2 linked regions of the Saccharomyces cerevisiae S288C genome follow. The gene in region 1 interacts genetically with each later gene. Each region holds a gene or a part of one and is shown in the gene's direction. Other genes may lie near its edges.

Region 1 (3,934 bases):
TAGAATAGGTAGAGGAGGTTGGCTGCTTAGAAGAAGGATACACATCCGGAAGCGGAGCGTGATGAGTCTCTGTCATATAAGCGTTTTAGTATATGGGAGGAATGACAGAGTATAAGCCGTTATGGTATACTACTACGAATACATAATTAAGAATAGGGTTTTAATGTAGTTGCTTGTATATCTTCTATGTTCCCCTTTTTAAGCACCCCTTAGAAAATATATATTGTCGAGGATTTTTCTCCAGAGACCATGAAATGAAAAAGAATCCGAAATATGCACTCCTTCGACCAAGGCTTTAGAGCACCCTCATTTAAAGCCCGACCTGTAGTGCATATGCAAGATTAAGAAAAAGAACAGAGAGAAAAGTCCGCTTTACCATAATGTTAATTTATTCTAAATGCTCTCATTGACTTTTATTTCACCGACCCTGAGTCAAATTTTCGACCATGTTATATACATGCTATTTAGTAATCAAGTGATTAATTTTACCGAACTCAAAGTTGCAGCCGCAGAAAATAGTCATCTGATAATCTTATATATAGATCCGACTTATTAAAGGACATAATTTTCAAAGAATCGGGTACGTGCCTAATGCAATCATGTCGTGTCAATCAACTTCCCCCATACTATATCATTGTTTTACGCCACGTTAATAGGAACCAACGAATTTCTTAAAGCCAATCCTTACTGCTATTTGCAGATGGACTGACGGTTATGCATTCACTAACACCCCAGGTCTTACCGTACCACATATTTAGGTGCAATACTAATCAATTGTCTCTTGAACAGTAACGACGAAAGTATGAACTTCTTATCTATGCTATCTTCAACGTGATAGTTTATGCTACTTTGCAGATGTTTGAGTTAACCTGCTAAAATATATTAAAGCAGCTATAGTTATTTTGAGTTGGTCTATACAACTTCAGGAAAATGTCGTTTGAATATTCCTGCACAACGCTGGGATATTTACAACCAAAGATGCCACTACAAATAATAATGACATGTATATGAGAACATTGCAAACGATTAACGCTGCTCACTTAATGCTATGTAGACTTCAATATATGTCTTTGAAAAACGCTTTTCCACAATCACAGGATAGCAGAGGGATGCCTAGAGGAATACTCCCCGGCTAAAAATGCCTGAGACTGCCCATATATTCCCACGGTAATTATCCATATAATAACGAAATTGAGTTTTCTATAAGTAACATCAGCCCATCACCCATTTATTTGTTCTATAGAATACTATACTCTTTTGCTCCAGTGTCTTACCTCAAGTGGACGCGCTCTCAGTGCCAAATACAGAGACAACAAGGACCTGGAGAGTTGTTCATAACAAAAGTTTCATCATGCCACCAGCGTAATGACAGCCGCAGCAGTGTTTGACCAATTGAACTATGATAAAACTACATTATGGTTTCTGACTATGTCTGTACATCCATGCATCATCTTTTGAAGTTTTTATTTTGATAGCATCCTATTTTGTGACTCTTACTTTACAAGAACGCCAACATAGGGAGTGATTGATATTCTCTGAATTTATCTGGATACAGCCAATGACATCCTGAAATACCTATAGTGACAGTAGCGCATTTCCTGGTCATTTATTAATGGTTTTAGACACAAAATGAAGATAACAGATAATACGAAAGTATCTTAAACTGCAAAGGGGATCTATACGCCACGACTTACTGAACATCTCTGACCAATAGAAGATCCCTCAAGTTTATTAGGCAACTACAGTATGTTATTACAAGAGCATACGCCTGTATTTGGATGGCCAATGAACAAGGAGGATATTTTTTCCACATATAAGTGACCGCCATTAAACAAGACATGTTTGAAATAACCTCCTTCTGTCATACTATGTGCTCACTATTTTCAGAAAATGCGGTTGAAAATCCTCGTCTGCGCAAATTGAAAAAGTCGATATACGTTTCAAGTAACGCAGCCGAAATGCCCGTTTGCCAAGCTTATTATATTTGGAAAAGTGTCAAATTATAGTGCTCGCATCTGGATGTACCGCGCATATTTCTTAGTTAAGCAGGATGTATAACTGCGCATTAATACGTGAGCATTTGCGCAAATTCACTTCTTAAAATCTCTGAAGTACTTCTTCATTATGCACTCGTTTGTTCTCAAGATCATATAAACCATGCCTTTATTACCAATACTAAAAGTTTTTTATTGCAAGTAAAGGGATATTTCAAATTTTTATTTCAAAGTTTATTTATATACATCGATAAATAATAAAATGATTGAAGAAAGAGATTTGGTTTTAAGCAATGGTATCCATTGTATTGCTGACATCCACTCCGAACTATACGCCAGGTTAAAAAAAGAATCGCAGGCAGCGACACCATGGGTGTACCAAAAACAATACGGAAAATTCGTCACTTACTTTGTCGCTGTGATAATTTTTTTGTCTTTGATAAAAAAGCTGGCATTTATGTATTATGATTCCAGTGAGGAATTTCTTCCAGAAAAGAAGAACTCGCCGACTACCCCTTCTGTATTCCTTGCTCGAATAATGACGAAACTTGTCGCATTCAACAGATACATTTGCTACAGGAAATTTCCCACGTTGATATTTTCTTATTTAGGTATTCCGACATCTGTGGGTACTTTTTTAGTAGTAATGGCTACCACTTTATACACACTTCTATACTGCTTTGTTCCTCATCCATTCTACAGACCTTGTGCAGGATTTGGTTCGCCGCCTTTGTCTGTTCGTGCAGGCATAATGGCAATATCTTTGGTTCCGTTTGTATTCTCACTTTCCGGGAAGATCAACGTTATAGGTTGGTTGGTTGGGCTTTCGTATGAAAAAATCAACATATACCACCAATGGGCATCCATTCTTTGTTTATTCTTTAGCTGGGTTCATGTCATTCCCTTCCTACGTCAAGCACGACATGAGGGAGGATATGAAAGAATGCATCAACGGTGGAAGGCATCCGACATGTGGAGGAGTGGTGTCCCACCCATCTTATTTTTGAATCTGCTATGGTTATCTTCGCTGCCTATTGCTAGAAGACATTTTTATGAGATTTTTTTGCAACTTCATTGGATTTTAGCTGTTGGATTTTACATTAGTTTGTTCTATCATGTATATCCCGAATTGAATTCCCATATGTATCTGGTTGCTACAATTGTGGTTTGGTTTGCACAACTGTTTTACAGACTAGCTGTGAAGGGTTATTTAAGACCTGGTAGAAGTTTCATGGCCTCGACCATTGCAAATGTCAGCATAGTCGGCGAAGGATGCGTAGAATTGATCGTCAAAGATGTGGAAATGGCCTATTCCCCAGGTCAACACATATTCGTGAGAACTATTGATAAGGGCATCATTTCCAACCATCCATTTTCTATCTTTCCGAGTGCAAAGTATCCCGGAGGAATAAAAATGCTGATTAGAGCCCAGAAAGGGTTTTCTAAAAGGCTATACGAAAGTAATGACGACATGAAGAAAATTCTTATTGATGGGCCTTATGGTGGAATCGAGAGAGATATTAGAAGTTTTACCAATGTCTACTTGATTTGCTCTGGTTCAGGTATATCTACATGCTTACCTTTCCTGCAAAAATATGGCCCCATACTCCATAAGACAAACTTAGAAGTTATTACATTGGACTGGGTGGTAAGACATAGGGAGGATATATCATGGATTAGAGATGAAATGTGTACCCTCTCAAATAATTTGCGCCAGTTATTTTTAGATGGGAAAATTGTGGTTAGAATTTACGTCTGCTCGGACAGTACCGTCCCTGGTATTATTAAAACTTTCCCTCAAACAATAGACACCGCCAGTGACCAATCTGATTTAGCTAAAAGAGAAAAAGATACCGAATTCGGCCAGGATGATACTGAGTCAAATTCAACTTTCGACAAATCCAATAACGAATATAAAGGTCTCATCACCATTATTCCTT
Region 2 (3,934 bases), on another chromosome or scaffold:
TGAATTTATTTTGGTACGGCGTTACGGTGATTTGTTCAACATGCGCCGTAAATTGGCCCTTTTCGATAATATCGGGTGAATTTTCCCAATCTATGAGGCCACCTGCCCAGTTTATTGTACCGGGTCCGTTGGTTTCCGAGCCGCCTGGCCAAACAGCGATTTCTAGTCTCATCGGCGTTTGTGGGTACCTATATTCTTTACTAATGGGGTCCCAGGTATCCTTCTTCAGGACTGTGCGAGCTATTTTACCATCAACATACCATATTATCCTATCCGGGTCCCAATCAATCTCATAAGTGTGGTAAGTGGCCCAAGTGTCAGCGCCTACGGGAAATCTTTGCATTCTTGTGTAATCCAAATGCCCTTGAGAATAGTAGTTTGATTGGGCCGTCATTAAATCACCACCCAGCCACTCAAAATCAATCTCGTCCCCAATTGCGGATGTTAAGTCAAATGCAGTCACCACACCCCTCGACCTCGCCGTTTTCATTCGCACGCTTGCCTTGCCGTATAGAAACGACCTGGTCGATGTGATCAAACTTCCGGTAGTTTTTTTTGGCATAGCCAGAACAATATTCCCGCTACTCGCTTCAATTGATGTGTAGCCGCTATGTGTGAAATCGAAATCTTCCAACATTTTCTCTGCCTCTTTACTGTCTGGAGTGACCAAGAATTTGGCGTAGTGTATGATTCTCTTGGAATTTAGCTCCCCTTCTACTACACCCACCTTGGTATTTGCCTTATTCGGTCCATTTCCCTCTCTTATTGGTGGCTTAGGTTGATAGTTCACAATAAATTTAGGAACCTTTGGTGTGCTAACAAATTCAAGTTTTTGACTGGCGACTAATGCAGGTATAGGAGCACAGCTTTCCTCGTCGAAAGATGACCTCACGTTGCAGCCACCGACACATATCGGTCCAGCGCCACATTCATTATACGGCGAGCAGCACGGCCATTCTGCGGGACAAGGGTTATTTGGAGAACAAGAAATGGAGTTTTTGGGTTTGTATAATTCTCCCAGTGCAAATCCGATGTAGCCAACAACCGGCACCAGCTGTAATATTGATATTCTCATATTTTTATTTCGTGCAAAAGCCCTTGATGATACTCTAAACTAAACGACTGTTCTTGTATTTCGTTATTAATCGATAATTATTAGCTGGTATTGTCTTTTTTTTTTTTTTCCTACATGATCGTCGCGAGGCTTTACATAATTTTTGTGACGCCTTTAAAAGTATAGTAGAACGAGCACATAAGAAGTAAATGAAAAGTACGGCAGATGCAATTGACAGTAAAGAGCGGTACAATAGTTGAAGAATACCCGATAAAAATGTATTTAGGTTGCTTGACGGGTTTGCAGCAATTGCCAAGAACACTAACTGTGGCAATCTTGGTGAGAATCTACTCCCAACCCAAACATTTTCGCCGATATTTTTGCTCACCTTTTTTTTTTGCTCATCGAAAATTGTTATAGCGGCTCGACTTTGATTTACTAATACACCCAATTTCTAATATCCTCAAGGCTAGATCGTTCTCTCAAGGAACTTAAAGTGCCTGATCTTGCGATGATTAATCTACAGCGATGGATACTTAAATCATGTAAAAATCTCAGTTTTGAAGTCGTTTGCTCTCTTCCATGCTTCAGTTCCCTTTTGGAAGGTAATATAATCATCTAATTTCTCGCATATTCACGCCGACGGAAGAACGAGCCGGATCAATATGGTTAGAACCCGTGTATTATTCTGCTTATTTATATCTTTTTTTGCTACGGTTCAATCGAGTGCTACACTTATTAGCACTTCATGTATTTCCCAAGCTGCGCTATACCAATTTGGATGTTCTAGTAAATCTAAAAGTTGCTACTGTAAAAACATCAATTGGCTGGGTTCAGTGACAGCATGTGCCTATGAGAATTCCAAATCTAACAAAACACTAGACAGCGCCTTAATGAAGTTAGCATCCCAATGTTCAAGCATCAAAGTTTATACTTTAGAGGACATGAAGAATATTTATTTAAATGCGTCAAATTATTTGAGAGCACCTGAGAAAAGTGATAAAAAAACCGTGGTTAGTCAACCGCTCATGGCGAACGAGACAGCGTATCATTATTATTATGAGGAAAATTATGGTATCCATCTTAACCTAATGCGCTCTCAATGGTGCGCTTGGGGTCTCGTCTTCTTCTGGGTGGCTGTGCTTACTGCAGCCACTATCTTGAACATTCTGAAAAGGGTGTTTGGTAAGAACATCATGGCAAACTCCGTCAAAAAATCACTTATTTATCCTTCTGTTTACAAAGATTATAATGAACGAACTTTTTATTTATGGAAGCGTCTACCATTTAATTTTACAACTCGAGGCAAGGGTCTCGTCGTATTAATTTTTGTTATTTTGACTATATTATCTCTCAGTTTTGGTCATAATATTAAACTTCCACACCCATATGATAGGCCCAGATGGAGAAGAAGTATGGCCTTTGTGAGTCGTAGAGCAGACTTGATGGCCATTGCACTTTTCCCAGTAGTCTATCTATTCGGAATAAGAAATAATCCCTTCATCCCTATAACAGGGCTTTCCTTTTCTACATTTAATTTCTATCATAAATGGTCTGCCTACGTTTGTTTCATGTTGGCCGTTGTACACTCAATTGTCATGACCGCCTCGGGAGTGAAAAGAGGTGTGTTTCAAAGTCTGGTTAGGAAATTTTACTTTAGGTGGGGTATAGTGGCAACGATATTAATGTCTATTATTATTTTCCAAAGTGAAAAAGTATTTAGAAATAGAGGGTATGAGATATTCCTTCTTATTCATAAAGCGATGAATATTATGTTCATTATTGCCATGTACTACCATTGTCACACCCTGGGCTGGATGGGTTGGATTTGGTCAATGGCTGGTATTTTATGCTTTGATAGATTCTGCAGGATTGTTAGAATAATCATGAATGGTGGCTTGAAAACTGCTACTTTGAGTACCACTGATGATTCTAATGTTATTAAAATTTCAGTAAAAAAACCAAAGTTTTTCAAGTACCAAGTAGGAGCTTTCGCATACATGTATTTCTTATCACCAAAAAGTGCATGGTTCTATAGTTTCCAATCACATCCATTTACAGTATTATCGGAACGACACCGTGATCCAAACAATCCAGATCAATTGACGATGTACGTAAAGGCAAATAAAGGTATCACTCGAGTTTTGTTATCGAAAGTTCTAAGTGCTCCAAATCATACTGTTGATTGTAAAATATTCCTTGAAGGCCCATATGGTGTAACGGTTCCACATATCGCTAAGCTAAAAAGAAATCTGGTAGGTGTAGCCGCTGGTTTGGGTGTTGCGGCTATTTATCCGCACTTTGTCGAATGTTTACGGTTACCATCTACTGATCAACTTCAGCATAAATTTTACTGGATTGTTAATGACCTATCCCATTTGAAATGGTTTGAAAATGAATTGCAATGGTTAAAGGAGAAAAGTTGTGAAGTCTCAGTCATATATACTGGTTCCAGTGTTGAGGACACAAATTCAGATGAGAGTACAAAAGGTTTTGATGATAAAGAAGAAAGCGAAATCACTGTTGAATGTCTCAATAAAAGACCTGATTTGAAAGAACTAGTGCGCTCGGAAATAAAACTCTCAGAACTAGAGAATAATAATATTACCTTTTATTCCTGCGGGCCAGCAACGTTTAACGACGATTTTAGAAATGCAGTGGTCCAAGGTATAGACTCTTCCTTGAAGATTGACGTTGAACTAGAAGAAGAAAGTTTTACATGGTAAGGCCCCTTGTTAATAATTCTTGCACGCATACTTTTGTTATTTTGTTGCTTTATCGGATAAAAGTTAATATAAATCGATGTAAATAATTTTATATAATCATACAACAGGGTAATAAAAAGACGAATATATTCAAATGCGGGTTCTAAATCTAAGT

What was found.
Region 2: of FRE7 (region 1) and FRE1, extra expression of one rescues a mutant of the other (dosage rescue), as found in Saccharomyces cerevisiae (one study listed by BioGRID).

The regions. Positions count from the first base shown.
Region 1 is NC_001147.6:38,492-42,425, forward strand, and holds the start of FRE7 (putative ferric-chelate reductase), read left to right. Parts: upstream 1-2,256; coding exon 2,257-3,934. UniProt on the Saccharomyces cerevisiae protein: Cell surface metalloreductase. May be involved in copper homeostasis.
Region 2 is NC_001144.5:566,848-570,781, forward strand, and holds FRE1 (ferric/cupric-chelate reductase), read left to right. Parts: upstream 1-1,719; coding exon 1,720-3,780; downstream 3,781-3,934. Other genes in the region: CRR1 (putative glycosylase), read right to left, coding at 1-1,075; cell proliferation protein CDC123, read right to left, coding at 3,929-3,934.